3 linked regions of the Canis lupus familiaris genome follow. The protein of the gene in region 1 purifies or fractionates together with the protein of each later gene. This does not show direct contact. Links are inferred from orthologs where the notes say so. Each region holds a gene or a part of one and is shown in the gene's direction. Other genes may lie near its edges.

Evidence for each region. The genes of interacting proteins can lie anywhere in the genome.
Region 2: the proteins of SLC12A6 (region 1) and STK39 purify together in Homo sapiens (affinity purification with mass spectrometry; 3 studies listed by BioGRID and IntAct, with this or other methods). This does not show direct contact. The link is inferred for Canis lupus familiaris from reciprocal best matches to the Homo sapiens genes SLC12A6 and STK39.
Region 3: the proteins of SLC12A6 (region 1) and RAB6B purify together in Homo sapiens (affinity purification with mass spectrometry; 4 studies listed by BioGRID and IntAct, with this or other methods). This does not show direct contact. The link is inferred for Canis lupus familiaris from reciprocal best matches to the Homo sapiens genes SLC12A6 and RAB6B.

The regions. Positions count from the first base shown.
Region 1 is NC_049251.1:1,116,326-1,120,585, forward strand, and holds part of SLC12A6 (solute carrier family 12 member 6), read left to right. Parts: intron 1-566; coding exon 567-741; intron 742-1,059; coding exon 1,060-1,178; intron 1,179-2,383; coding exon 2,384-2,482; intron 2,483-4,260.
Region 2 is NC_049257.1:13,453,039-13,457,951, reverse strand, and holds the start of STK39 (STE20/SPS1-related proline-alanine-rich protein kinase), read left to right. Parts: upstream 1-1,627; coding exon 1,628-1,844; intron 1,845-4,913. UniProt on the Homo sapiens protein: Effector serine/threonine-protein kinase component of the WNK-SPAK/OSR1 kinase cascade, which is involved in various processes, such as ion transport, response to hypertonic stress and blood pressure.
Region 3 is NC_049244.1:31,291,439-31,296,369, reverse strand, and holds the start of RAB6B (ras-related protein Rab-6B), read left to right. Parts: upstream 1-1,645; 5' UTR 1,646-1,731; coding exon 1,732-1,801; intron 1,802-4,931. UniProt on the Homo sapiens protein: The small GTPases Rab are key regulators of intracellular membrane trafficking, from the formation of transport vesicles to their fusion with membranes. Rabs cycle between active GTP-bound and inactive GDP-bound states.

The DNA.
Region 1 (4,260 bases):
TTAAATAGAATTAAAAAAAAAAAAAAAGATGTTAATCACAGTATTTTTCACAGTACAAAATCGACGCTAGAAGAATGGATTATATAAATGATGCAATGTTACTAAAGCCATTAAATTTTTTATTCATGAAGAATTTTTCATGACAGAAAAATGCTTCTAAGTTAAAAAGAATATGGAATTATAGGGGTAGTGTGATCTCATCTAGGTTTTAAAAAAACATAGTAAATAGACTAAAATGTGCAAAGCATGCTAAATGCTGCCAGCTACTATATGGATTTCCTCCCTCCTTTTTATATATTTTTTTTCCAATTTTTCTGTAAAGAACACGATATTTTGAGGGCAAAAGCCTTAATTGAAGCTTGGCTTTATTCTCTTGGTCCTACAAGTTATTTTTTCTTAATATAGATTAACAATGTCTTTTGATCAAATCTGCTTACCTTTATGTTACTATTCATGTCTGTCTTAATTTTAATTCTCTAAAAATTATAAATAGAAAAAATTAGGTGAATGTTTCTCTAGTTTTCTTAATCTGTAGTTAAATTTCCCCACTCTCATTCCTTTCCCAGGTTTGGGGATGCTGTGAAAGGTAATCTGGTGGTGGGTACCTTATCTTGGCCATCACCATGGGTGATCGTTATTGGCTCCTTCTTCTCCACATGTGGGGCTGGACTTCAGAGCCTCACGGGTGCACCAAGGCTGCTACAGGCTATAGCAAAGGATAACATCATACCCTTCCTGAGGGTGAGTGACCCTCTCCCATACCTTATTGCCTTTTTCTCAGATTTTAGGAGAAACAGTGTGGTCTTCATAGGCTTAGGAATTACCAGATCAGGAAAAAAAAAAAAAAAAAAAAGGAATTACCAGATCATATAATGTGAAGACAGGTGGATTTTTAGTACAAGACCTTCCCTATGAGGGAAGAGTTTATATGTAAGCGGGGTAGAGGTATTTAACAGCACAGTTGTATCCTGTGCTGTGTCTGAAACTGTAGCAGCGAGGGGAGCATTGACTCAGACACTCCCCACACACCTGTGACTAATATATCCCTTCTCTGTACAGGTTTTTGGTCACAGCAAAGCCAATGGGGAACCTACCTGGGCTTTACTTCTAACTGCTGCCATTGCAGAGCTGGGGATTCTTATCGCCTCCCTGGACCTTGTGGCCCCAATTCTTTCTATGTAAGAGCCAGTTCTTCTCTTCACTGTTTCTTGCTTTTGTGATATGTACTACACGTTAATTTCCCTCAGGCATATAATAGTAGTGATAACAGAGTAAGCCAAGTACAGGTGTAACTTCACCTAAATAATACATATTCCAAAGAAGTTTCAAGTAAGGCTGACTTTTATAATTTTATGGTTTCTTCCTACCTGTATAGCTTCAGAAGTTCTTTGCCTTCATTTCTGATTCATTATCAATTGGTTATAGCTTTCACCGCTGCTGTTAGCTTTGATCCTTCAACTGACATAGTGATGACTTAATATCTACCTGGCACTGGGCAGCATGTTAGGAATATAAAGATGAATAACACAACCCTAAGGAACCGATGATAAAGAGATTAGTGGTCCTTGTGCAGTGTGATGAGAACTGTGGTAAAGGTGAATGCTACCGTGAAAGCTCTAAGGGGAGGCACCTAAGTGGACTGAGACTCGGGAAAGGTTCTCTGGATAAAGAGACACTTGCATCTTGAAGGAGGACATTATTTACCAATCAACAAAAGAGTGAGAAGTCCCAGACACTGAATGTGGGTAAAGGAATTGAGGAATGAAACGATGCAGCACATCTGAGAATTGAAAGTAGTTTGGCTTTGATGGGAGGGTGCCTGTTCGGGGGTAGCCAGGCAGAGACTTAGGTAGAACCAGGTCACAAAAGACCTAGAACTTTTACCTGGTGGTAGCGAGTGATCCTTTGAGAATGGAATGATCATATTTATGTTTTAGAGTAATCTGGTATAAAAGGTAAGTGAGAAGGAGGCTAAAATTGAGCTGGGAATGCCAACTGGAAGCTTATTTAATCCAGCAAGGAAAAAATGAGATCCTGAAGTAAGGTAATATAGTAATAGAGATGGAAAGGAGGGGAAAAGTTTAAAAATTTGTGAATGGGTAGAATCCATAGGACTTGATAAGTCAATTTGGAACAAGGATGAGTAACAAAGAGGAAACTGGGATTATCCCAAGAACAACTAGATAAAGAGTAGTTGTGTTTTTCGCTGAGAGAGAACATAGGAGAAGGAGCAAGGTGTGGGGAGAAGTTAAGTTTCTCTGCATCCTAGTCTGAATCAAAGGCTAGTGGGCTGCACCAGAGGCTTAAATACAACAAGGTCTATTTAAAATAGCCCTTGGGAGAGTCATTTTACAGTGCCTCTTAACTTCTTTGATTCCACCAGGTTTTTCCTCATGTGTTACCTCTTTGTGAACTTGGCATGTGCTCTGCAAACATTACTTCGAACACCCAACTGGAGACCTCGGTTCCGCTACTACCACTGGTAAGTCTGCCCTTTTTCTTCTTCTTCCCCACGTTTTAACTAGAAAACGAGGAGAGTCTGGGTGGTCAACACAGTTTTTCTTGGCCAGCCATTCCATACTGCCTATTTCAACATCCAGTGATTCCCTGAATTTCCACCATCTTATGTGTTTTTTCATAGGTCACTTTATAATTTATAACACCCACTTAGAATAAAGATCAAAACTATGAAATAAATATTTCCAGCCTGCTGCATTTTTCCAGGTTAAACCAACCTACCCTTTGCATATCTATTTTCCCATTTCTCTCTTAGCTAAGCACTGAATTTCATCAATTTTCTGTCTTTATCCTCATCAGTTTTCATTCTCAAACTGTCTTCTTAAGTTTCATTTAGCAGGTAAGAGTGTGAGCTATGGGGTCAGATGACCTTAGCTCAGTGTCTGCTCTACTATTTCCTAGCTTTGTAACTTTTAACAAAGCACATAACCACATAAAATCTAATTTTATTCATTTGTAAAATGGACTGATAGTATTACCTGTCTCATGGGATTTCTTTGAGATGATCTGAAGTGCTCAGCACAGTGCCAGGGACGTAGTAAAGCTCTCAGTGAAACTTTGCTGCATTTGCTGCTGCTGCTTTCAAGTCTCCCCAGTCCTAAGGGGGTCATCAAGCTTTTAGCTGCCATCCTATCTCCTCATTTCTTTTCTATCATAGCTAAAGGTTCCTTAGTATGTCCTGTTGCTACATTCCTCTTTGCTAACTTTCTCCTTGACCCTTTCCTGGCTTCACTTTCCAATGATGAGCAGTAGTGTGAGCTTTATAAAGTGGCAAAAATTTGGATCCTCACTGATTTTATCACCTCTAATCCTCTTTCTAATTTTAACCTTAATTAAACATCCACTGTGAACTTTGTTGTGTTACTATTTTGCTTTTATTACCTTTTCCCTTTCTCCTTCTCCTATGTTTTTATTAGATCCTAATTTTCTCCATATTAACAACTCTCCTGTTCACTCTTTGAAATTCATCATAGAGCTAAGAAGTTCATTCTGTACACAGAAGATCTTCAGTAAGCATGATTGTCTACCTAACCTATTTGATCATCAAAACAAGCATTTCATGATTCTCTGCCAAGTTTCTTTCTTTTTTTTTTTTTTTTTTTTTTTTTTTTAGAGGGAGACAGGGGGGAGAAGATGAGCCAAGGGGAGGGGGCAAAGGGAGAGGGAAAGGCTCTTAAGCAGACTCCACACTTAGCACTGAGCCCAAAGCAGGGCTCGATTCCAGGACCCTGAGATCATGACCTGAGCCAAAATCAAGAGTCAGATGCTTACCCACTGAGCCACCAGGTGCCTCTCTGCCAGGTTTCTTTTATGTAAAGTAGAGAAACTAATGGCAGATTTTCTTCAGTGGGTTCTGCATGTGTATGCTAATGAACATTCATAAGGTTTTTAGCAATATTTACATGAAATACTTTTTTTTAAAAGATCGTGTTAATAATTCTAACTACATGCCCCGTCCCTGCTTTGCCAAGTAGTTATTAATTCATTCACAACTGTAGATAACTTTTCGTTATATCCTACTCATTTATGTTTTTCCAGCAATGGGAAACATCAGGACAAAGGATGGTTTGGTTTGGGCCTCAGTGCAGATCTACTGACTGTTGCAGTCCATGATAAGACAACTATAAAAATTGAGAAAAAGCATTTAAAAACTTACAGCAACCTGACCATTGTCACAGTATCCAGGCAAATAGTAATTTTTCTAATAATTCATCTTTATTGCATTTACAATATAAATTTTAT
Region 2 (4,913 bases), on another chromosome or scaffold:
CTTTGGGATGGGGAGCAGCCCTTGAAAAAGAGAGTTCCCCTCTTCCCTATTCCTCCCCACTGAACACATCAGAGGCCTAGAATTTATTTGTTCATCAAGTTGTATTTCTTGATTAAAATCAATACGCAGTTTTTGAACACCCATGCATAAAAGATGTATACTTTCTTAGTTCAGCATAAATTTCTGCTTATAGACCAGAGCACCGTAGTTGCTGAACCCCATCTGTTCCGTAATGCTATGAGATTAAGCACACTCGGTTTAGTTTAGATCCCTGTTTGATTAGACATATAACATTTCTCCTAATGAATTTCTGACTTTCCTCTTGTCTTCCAAAAAAATATTGAGATTTTTGTGTTTAAACGCAGAAGACAAAGCATTACAGTCTTTCTTAGAGCTTTTTTTTTTTTTTCTTAAGATTTTATTTATTTATTCGTGATAGAGAGGCAGAGGCACAGGCAGAGGGAGAAGCAGGCTCCATGCAGGGAGCCTGATGTGGGACTTGATCTCGGGTCTCCAGGGTCACGCCCCGGGCTGCAGGTGGCGCTAAACCGCTGGGCCACCCGGGGATCCGCCTCCCCCTTTTTTAAATTGGAGTTCAATTTGCCAACATATAGCATATCACCCACTTCTTAGAGCCCTTTTTTTTTTTTTTTTTTTAAATAATGCTCATTACTCTAATGCATTTCTTCAGCCGTTGTCATGAAAATCACACAAGAAAATTTGGGCAAAATGACCCAGCGGACCCTTGGTTCCCTGCACCGTTTCTGCTTCAGACGAGGGTGGTGTCGTCTAGGTCATCAGGTCATCGCTACGGAGGGAACCCAGGGAACATCAGTGTGCAACACGACACCCGTAATTAGGAAGACCTAAGGTTCAACCACAGCAGCGGTAAAGATGAGGTAATTTCGGGGGGCGGGGGGGGGGAGTTGGGGAAAGAAAGCAGCAATGAATGAACCAAAAGTTTTCGGCAGCTCGTTTAGGGCGCAGTGTGCGCTGCAAGAGAGACGCCTGCCGCGGTCGCCGGGGGCCAGTGCGGCCTGCGGCGGAGGCCACAGTCGGCCACAGGGCGCGCGACCCCTTCCATTTGCTCGGGTCCCACGCACGGGCCCTTGGACCACGTCCCGAAGGAGCCTGCGGACCGCCGGGACCCGAGGAATCACGCTGCACTCGGGGGGGGGCGGGGGCTTGAACCTCGGAGGCGAAGGTGCGAAGGGGATGCTGGCAGGTGACGCGCGGCGGGGTCCCGGCCTGCGGGACGGCTCAGCGGGCGTCGCGCGAGCCCGCCCCGGGGACCCGGGCGCCGCGGGAGGCCGGGCCGAGCGGACCGAGCCCGCCCGGCTCGCCGGCGCCGGGCGCGGGGCGGGGGGCGGGGGGTGGGGGGAGGCGGCGGTTCCCGCGGAGGCGGCAGCGGCGCGCGCGAGGCTCGGGGCCGCGGCGCCCCCCCCCCCCCCGCGCTGCCTCCGCCCTCCGCGCGGCCCGGCCTCCCTGCTCCCTCCCCTCGGGGCTCCGGCGGCGGCGGCGGCGCGGCGGGGAGGGCGTGCGCCGGCGGGAGGCGGCGGCCAGGCCGGGGAAGTTTCGAGTGGAAGGTCGTCCGCCGGCCGCGCGTCCTCCCGCCGCCCGGAGCATCATGGCGGAGCCCGGCGGCTCGCCCGTGCACGTCCAGCCGCCCCAGCACGCGGCCCCGGCGACGGCGGCGGCCCCCGCGTTCCCCGCGGCCCCCGCGGCGCCGGCCCCGGCCCCGGCCCCGGCCCCGGCCCCGGCCCCGGCCCCGGCCCCCGGCCCCGCGGCGCAGGCGGCCGGCTGGCCCATCTGCAGGGACGCGTACGAGCTGCAGGAGGTGATCGGTCAGTGCGGCGGGCCCGGGGCCGGGGGGGCTCGCTGCGTGCTCGCCGGGAGGCTGGCGCCCGGCCTCGGGCCTACCGGCTCCAACAGTTTTTTTTTTTTTTTTTTTTCCTTTAATTTATTTGTTCGTTCTCTGAGCGCTGCTGCTGCTGCAGGCGGCGGCGCGGCGGATGTGACTCGCACTGCAGACGAGCCGCACGCTGCAAACTTTTATCTCCCGGATCGCCGGGGCGGCGGGTGGCGGATGGGGGGGCGGGGGTGGGGGAGCCGGGGATGGCGGAGCCGGGGATGGGGGGCCGGAGAGCGGGGCGGCGGAGCGGGCGAGCCGGGAAGCCGGGGATGGCGGAGCCGGGGATGGCGGAGCCGGGGAGCGGGGGAGCCGGGGCGGCCGAGCCGGGGAGCCGGGCCGCCGAGCAGCCGCGTCAGCCTCCAGCCGAGCGGCGGGGCCGCAGCCGGTGCGGGCGGCGGGGCGGGCGGGGCGGGCGGGGCTGCGGGGGCGCCGCCCTGGGCTTCCAGCGCCGCCGCGCCGCGCCCGGGGGGGGCCGCGTCCCGGGGGCCTCGGCGGGCGTCCCTGCGCCCCTGCGCCCCGCGAGCAGCCTCTCGCCGTGGGTCCCGGGGCCCCTCCCGAGGCCGCGGAGGATGCCGCTGCCCCGCGCCCGCCCCGCCGCCCGGTGCGCCCCGGGCCCCATCCCTGGCCCCCGCCCCGGGACCCAGCGGGCGCCCGGTCCTCCCCCGGGTCCTCCCCCGGGTCCGGGTCCGGGTCCGGGTCCTCGCCCGCGCCCGCCGCCACCCGGTCGGCTCCCGGTTTCCAAAAACGTGTCCGGGCCCGCGGCAGGCAGGCGGCGTGACTTTTCCTCGGGCCTCGCACGGGAAAGGCCGGGGCTGTGCGCCGACCCGTGGCCCAGAACCTCTCCCTCGAGGCCCTTTTGCGGAGCCGGGTCGGGGAGCTCGGGGGCCTGGGGGGCCTGGGGGGCAGGCGGCTGCCCCGGGGCCCGGTGTGCACGTGCCGTGATGAAAAAGGAATTTAGGGTATTTATGTTAGGTATGTGTTTTGCTTTCCTTAAAAAAAAAAAAAAAAAAAAAAAATTCTCCAGACTCCCGTCCCCCCCCCCCCCCCTTTAAAAAATTAAAACCGGAGGAATTTCATGAGGCCTGCAAATGAGCCCTTATCACCTGCTGCTGTGGGAATGAAACCGCATGGCCTGAAATACGCGTATATTTCATCTATAGGAGAAAATGATGGGCAGGACGGTAACCAAGGATACCGAAACTTCAAATAATCTAAAATAGACATCTCTATATAACATTCTTTGGAAACCCAGACTTTTCACAAGTTTGGGCCAGAGATTCTCAGGGAATGTGTCCTTGTGTCACTTTCTGGATTAAATGGCTTTAAGGGCTTCTCAATGAAAACTGCTTGAAGGTGGCATATAAGCCCCCTCCAGTTTTTCAGCTTCACTGCCTGCCCTCAGCAGGCTTGCCCCTTCCCCTGGTCTGCGTGTATTGATCGCGCCCTGAGCATTGTGTTGTCCTTTGACACATCTGGCCTTCCAGTCCTCCTGTCTGGGTACAGACTCTCCTCTCATCCGAGTGCCCATTTTGTCAGGGAATCTCACTCAGCTCCCACGGCCAGAGGGAATTTTCTTTGAGAAGCCTTTTGCTTTTCCTGAGCCGAAGCATATTGGCTTCCTCTACCCCTCTTTTTACACACTTTATAGCATGTAACCCCCTGTTTTTTGACTCGTGCCACAACATCTAAGAGTCTCTTATGTCCTGAGCATTGTGCTGCGTGTTAGCAGTATGCAATTTCATAAAAAAAGGTTCTTGCCCTCAAGGACCTGGCAACTTTATGTAAATGATTGTATAAGAGGTGATGGGTGAACACTGGGAGAGCACAAAGGGGGGGGGGTGGTGGGGATCATGAGAACACCAGAATTTAGTTATAACCAATTTATATGATTATTTTTGTCCGTTATTACGTTGAAATGTAAGCTTTGCTTATTGAAAACCGTATTTTGAGCCGACTAGTTTTGTGAGCTAATGAATAAAAATATTTTAATTTAAGTGATGGGCTTAATTGCAGGGCTTCTTCCTGCTTTCGGTGACAGCACTGTTAATTATGGTTGGTCAGTTTACCTAAGGCATTTGAGAACAGAAATACCTGCTTCTTACTTCTCCTGTTTTTGCACATTCACCCTGTGGAAAGGGCTTTTCTACATTTTAAATGTATCTTCTGTTCTCCAGCTAAGAGATGGTCCATGGGCCATGCTATTGACCAATCAGATTGCTGGCATAGGGGTTTTGCAAGGGCTTAATGTTTATAAGGAATTATAAACCCATTTCCATTTAGTGTTTAATGCCAGTTGAGTGATTACAAGTGAACTTGTGGTTAAGCACTTTTACTTAAACATTACTCACAGAAGTTAGTAGTTCAGACACTGAACTAGTTTCTACACGAATGCGGGTGAAGAGCCTCTGCCTCCCCCTCCGCCCGGCAGGTGTCATATGATAGGGCTCCAGCAGTGTGAACGGCCACCAGCAGGAGGCTCGGGTGTGCCTGAGCAGAAGACCGAGGGAGGCACCGCGTGTTGTGTTTTAACTTTGCAGCGTGGCACAGAGCACTTTTTCTTCATTTCCTTCTGGGCAGAGATTGGGGCCTCAGGATTATGAGAGAATAGGTTTACTAAAGTTCAAACAAGACAGGTTCAGTTGTTTGACTTCTATTTTAGAAAAATAAACACAGGATTTTGCAAGTGTAAAAAATAAAGTTTTCACTGTTCTTGTGCCGTGAAAAGATCAATGGAGAATTTGTAATGCTCTTATGGGTAATCTGGTTCAGAAGTCTATGCATGACCTGGAAAGGATGTAAAGTCTATTTGGGGAGAGCTTTATACTTAGGGGTTGAAAATGTGAAAATGTTGTGAAGTTATTAAACTCCTTTTAGCCATCGATATTCTTGTCTTAGTAGACTTCAGATATTTCTGTCTCCCACACAAGTAACTGCTCTTGCCAGGTTTTCTTTCCTCTTTATACTCTTCAGCCTCACGAATCTTTGTTCCTCACCTCTCCCC
Region 3 (4,931 bases), on another chromosome or scaffold:
AGTTTGGAGGGTGCCCCTGAGCCTGATGCCAGGCACAGTGGGGCAGGTATCCTAGACTGCTGGCCCTACAATCTCTGAGGCTCCAAACCAAAGGCAACTCGGAGAAATAAAACAGTTGTTTTGATTTGCATTCTAGACATTCATTCAAACATTCAACAACTATTTACTGAGTTCTCATTTAGGTCCTTGAGATCCTGTGATGGAGCTTCAACAGCTGCTTTCATGGAACTCACTTTCTAGTTTTTAAACAAGCAATGAGAGAGGGATCCAGCTGGGTTGACTATGGGCCAGGAAGCCTATGGGGCTGATAAACAAACCAGAAACAGACAGGAAGACACCCCAATCAAGCCATGTAAGTCAGAAAGAGGATGACAAATGTCCCTTGGTAATCTCTAGGGGTTGAGCTTGCTTCTCTTCTCTCTGTACACACACACACACACACACACACACACACACACATACACACGGAGCTTGCTCCCAAATGTTCTTTGAACCACAGTAAAGAAGGAGACCATGTGGTGGTTGAACAGTAGGAGGCAGCTTCATGAAACCTCCATTAACTGGAATGCCTTACCATCCGGCTGTCCTGGGAGTCCTTCTAACACTTGGGTTCCTTGCTCTCACCCACTCACAACTTGTCCCACGGGCCTCGCTGGGCCAGAGGAATACAGAGGGGAATGGGAAGCAACCCTCCTGTCCTCGGGAAGCTCCTTGTCCAGATACAACTAATTGCCAGGGCAAGCAGAGGCCTCGGAAGCCTGGTGGCCCCAGAGTCAAGAACTGCTGCAGGGCACTGTCCAGAGACAGCCGTGCTGATATTCGGGTGTCTGCTCCTTCGCTCTCATGGGACAGCAGATCCAGGATAAAATTACCTGTAGGAGCGGTTGGCTTGAGATTGGCAGGCACCCTTTCCTGGTCCTCCTCTCTTGCTGGCCAGCTCTGAGGTGACACCGCTGACCCCAGAGAGGAGCCCAGGGGAGGGAGGGCTAGAGCCACCCACACAGGGTCGCGGCCGGGCCGGCCAAGCCCCCTGGCCCACCGCCCCTGGCTCTCCCCCGACCTCCTCTCCTTCCCCTCTCGGCGTCGCGGGAGGTGGAGGAAGGGACCCGCATCTAGGTTCTGGAAGACTAGAAACAGATGTCCCCTGGCAATTTCGTGTCATTTTTCTGGATTCAAAGGAGGGGTCGCGTTAGAGCGGGGAAGGCAGGCAGCCGCGGGGCGGGGGCGGGGGCGGGGGGCGACGAGGGGCGGCGAGGCCCGGGGGTCTCGGAGGCCGGGCGCGGGCACCCGGGCCCCGCATGACATCAGAGGCGGGGAGCGCGCAGAGCGCAGGCGCGGGCCGCGGAGGGCGGACGGGAGGGGGCGGCGCGCGGCTCGCGGCTCGAGGCTCGCGGCTCCGGAGAGCGCTCCTCCGCCTCCGCCCCCGCCGTCCCCGCGCCGTCCCTGCGCCCCGCGCCTCGGGCGTCCAGAGCGCGCCCCGCGCCCCGCGCCCCGCAGCAGCCCAGCCGCAGCCGCAGCCGCAGCCGCAGCCCAGCCCCAGCCCCAGCCCCAGCCCCAGCCGCCGCCGCCGGACACGCCGCCGCAGGCCGGGGCCGGGCGCACCGGGGAGCCAGGGACGCGCGCAGCCCGCCCTTCCCCCTCCGGCTCCCGCACCGCCGCCGCCTCCCCCGCCCTCCCCCTCCGGCTCCTTCGCCTCGCCGCCGCCTCCTGCACGGCCCGGCCGCCAGCACCATGTCCGCAGGGGGAGATTTTGGGAACCCGCTGAGGAAATTCAAGTTGGTGTTCCTGGGGGAGCAGAGCGGTAAGTGCCCCCCGGTTCTGGCTGGGCGCCGAGTCACCCCCGCCGCCCCCCTCGTCCGCCCGGTGAGGCCCCGGCCCCGGCGCGGAAGGGCCCCTCCGAGCCCGGGCGGAGGGAGGCCCCGGGGAGGGGCGCGGGGTGCGGGGCTGCAGCGGCGGGAGGCCGAGGGCGCGGCTGCTCGGCGGCGGGGCTCGCGGGCTCCTCGCAATGCGGCAGCGGCGGCGGCTGCGGGCGAGCGCGCAGGTGGCCGGGCGCGGGGCGCGGGGCGCGGGGCGCGGGGCGCGGGGCGCGGGCGGGGGCAGGGGCCGGGGGGGCCGGGGGGGGCCGGGGCCGGGGGCGGGGGCCGGAGCCCCTCTCCCGAGCACGAGGCGGGCCGGCGGGGGCTCCCTGCGGACCCTGCCCCGACAGATGTTTAGTGCTGGGCACGTCCAGGCCCCGGAGCCGGCGGCCTCGGGGGAAGCCGACACCTGTCTCCCGCGGAAAGGGCGGGCGCCGCTGTAGGGGAACGGGGCGCCCACCTCCCCCGGCCTCACGTCCGACTGGGCGCGGAAGGTTCTAGACGCTGCCCGGTGCCCGCGTGTGGGAGCGCCCCTCGGGCGCAGGGTCTGGGCGAGGACAGCGAGGGGTCCCCGGTGCGAGGCGGATTGGGGGATGGTGCGGGGGTGCCTCGCCCCGAGACGCGGCGAAGCCCGGCGCTGGGCAGAGAAAGGACCGGGCGGCACGCCCTGCCTGGCTGCCCAGCACCCTCCGGGGAGCGGGGGGGAGCGAGAGCGCTGAACGCAGACGAGGCTTCCCACCCCCACCTCCCGGCTCTCCGCCCGTCTTGGGGGAGGGGAGGTCACCGAGGCAGCCGGCCAGGGGCGGGGGAGCGGGAGCGGGGGAGGGGGAGACCGCGGCCTCCCTGCCACCCAGCAGCCTCTCGGGGACAGCATCTCAGAAACCCCGGTTGGCCCGGCCCCGAGGTGAGAGGACCAGATGGAAGAGCGAGGATCCCGCTGACACCTGTAGGAAGGAGTGGTTCTCAGAGCATCTCCCCAGAGGCCTCTCACCTGGGGCTGCAGAGAGACAGGCTGGGCCTTGCCCAGCTCACCTCAGGAAGAAGGCGGTCACTGGGGACAGGATCCCCAGCCCTAGCTCTGCACACCAGTCCAGTTCACGTGCTTTGATGCCTGTCTGTCCAAGGGGCCAAGACGCAGGCAACCTTAGGAGGACCTGATGGGCTCAGGGAGCAGTGCTACCCTGCTGTGTGTACAAGTGGGTTGTGAAGGTCACATGGCAGGCTTCTGTGTTGCTGCTCATTCCCTGGGGTGGATGGTTCAGAGAAGGATGTCAGAAGGTGGTCAGGCCCTAACGTGGGGATGGATCCTGGGGCCAGGCTGTGGGCATTTCAGAACAGAATCAACTCAGCCAGCCAGCCCTGGGTCCTGGACTGTGAGTTTCTGATCTTAACAGAGTCCAGCTTCTGAGCTCACTATGCCTGTAGGGATTTCAGGAGTCTTCACATCCCAGTGCTACTCTTACCCAGCCTGAAGCCCTGGGAGAGAACTCTGATCAGACAGCCTGGGACTTGAATTCCTGCTTGTGTTGTCTCGAGCAGATTTCCAGGCCTCTCTGGACCTCAGTTTCTGTCTCTGCGAAATGGTTGCCTGAGGGCAGTTCTCTTAGTCCTTCACATTTCCCCAGTGCTTCTCAAAGGGCCTTAGCTCTGTTAAGTTAGTTCTCAAGAAACATTTTTTTATTCCCAGTCTGAACATGTTTCCGCCCATCAGACCAGGGCTCTGATGAGGAGAATGCCTCTTGTGAATTTGAGTGAAAACTCTGGACTCCCTCAGAATCTCTGATGGGCTGAGGTCCCTGAGGCGCCATGCAAACCCCCTTTGTTCCTAAATCACAGAAACTAGAGCTTAAGGCCTCAGAGATGGAGTCCCCATTCTGCATGTGTAGATAAGAAGTCTGATCCCCAGGGAGGAGGAGGACTTATGGAGAGTCCCAGGGTGAGTTGCTAGTACTTCAGGGGCTGGAACCAACATCTCCTGTTCCCAGTTGTCAGCATGTCATTGGGAATTAAGATGACCTTGAATCAGGGAGATAGGAGAATTGGGGAGCCCTCCTGAGTTGGGGTAAGGATTGTCACCCTCTGGCCAGCCTTGTGGCCGTGTTGGATGACCTGGGGGGAATGCTGAGCTGTTTGGGCTGGGGGCAGGGTTTGTAGGCCCACCCTTGGAACACAGGTCATTAGAGATGAAAGGCTCTGCCATCAATGGGATTGGCTATTGGCCACTCTGGTCCCTTCTGGCTGGGAGCCTTAGGGCCCTGAGAAGCCTTCTCCCACTAGACTGTGTAGTGGATTGCGTACTTCATATTCTACATGGCTTTTGGGGCCCTGAAATTAGGTGGGGGACATAGGCATCCCAGAGCCTGGTACGATGGGGAACTGCCTTCGGAGATACTGCTTCTGTCTTGCCTGCACACAGTTTTGTCTGTATTGGTCCTTTGTGTCACTGTAGCCTATGCAGTGTAGGGAGCCCCTGAGTTCTGGCCCTCCCTCTACCCTGGCTCTCCCTCCCTATGTGACTTCAGAGGTCCTTCACCTTCTCTAGCTGAGACACTTGGGTCAGCTGAGCTTGACAGAAGCCATCTAGAGAAGCATACCTATATGAGCTGACTACCCTGGATAGAAGGCAGGGGAAGGGGCTGGAGGAATGTGGCCTTTTCTTGTTTCTTGTGGGTGGTATAATGGTGCTATCTCCCTAGGCTAGTGGAGGAGGACACCTGGATTCCAAAAAGGAGTACCTGACCTGGAGCCCAGTGATGAGGAGGACACCTGGAACAGATAATTCTAGGAGGGTATCAACCCTTCAAAGATACCAGGATCTGGTTTGAGTGGGAAGCCCTTAAGGAACCACGCTAGAGAGAATACCTCTAGCCCATAAGAAAGCCCTCCTCTTGGCAGCAGAATGACTGCTGTCCCCTAGACCATGGAATACAGGCTGGCTGGCAATGTCAGCCTGGCAGGGAGTGGGACTGTGGAGAGGGCTGTGGTTCCAGAATGAGGGGAAGGCTGTGTAGTACTGCTGGTGTTCAGATGGCTGTCACTGGGCCTGATGGCCATGCTCTTAATGCTGATGGCAGT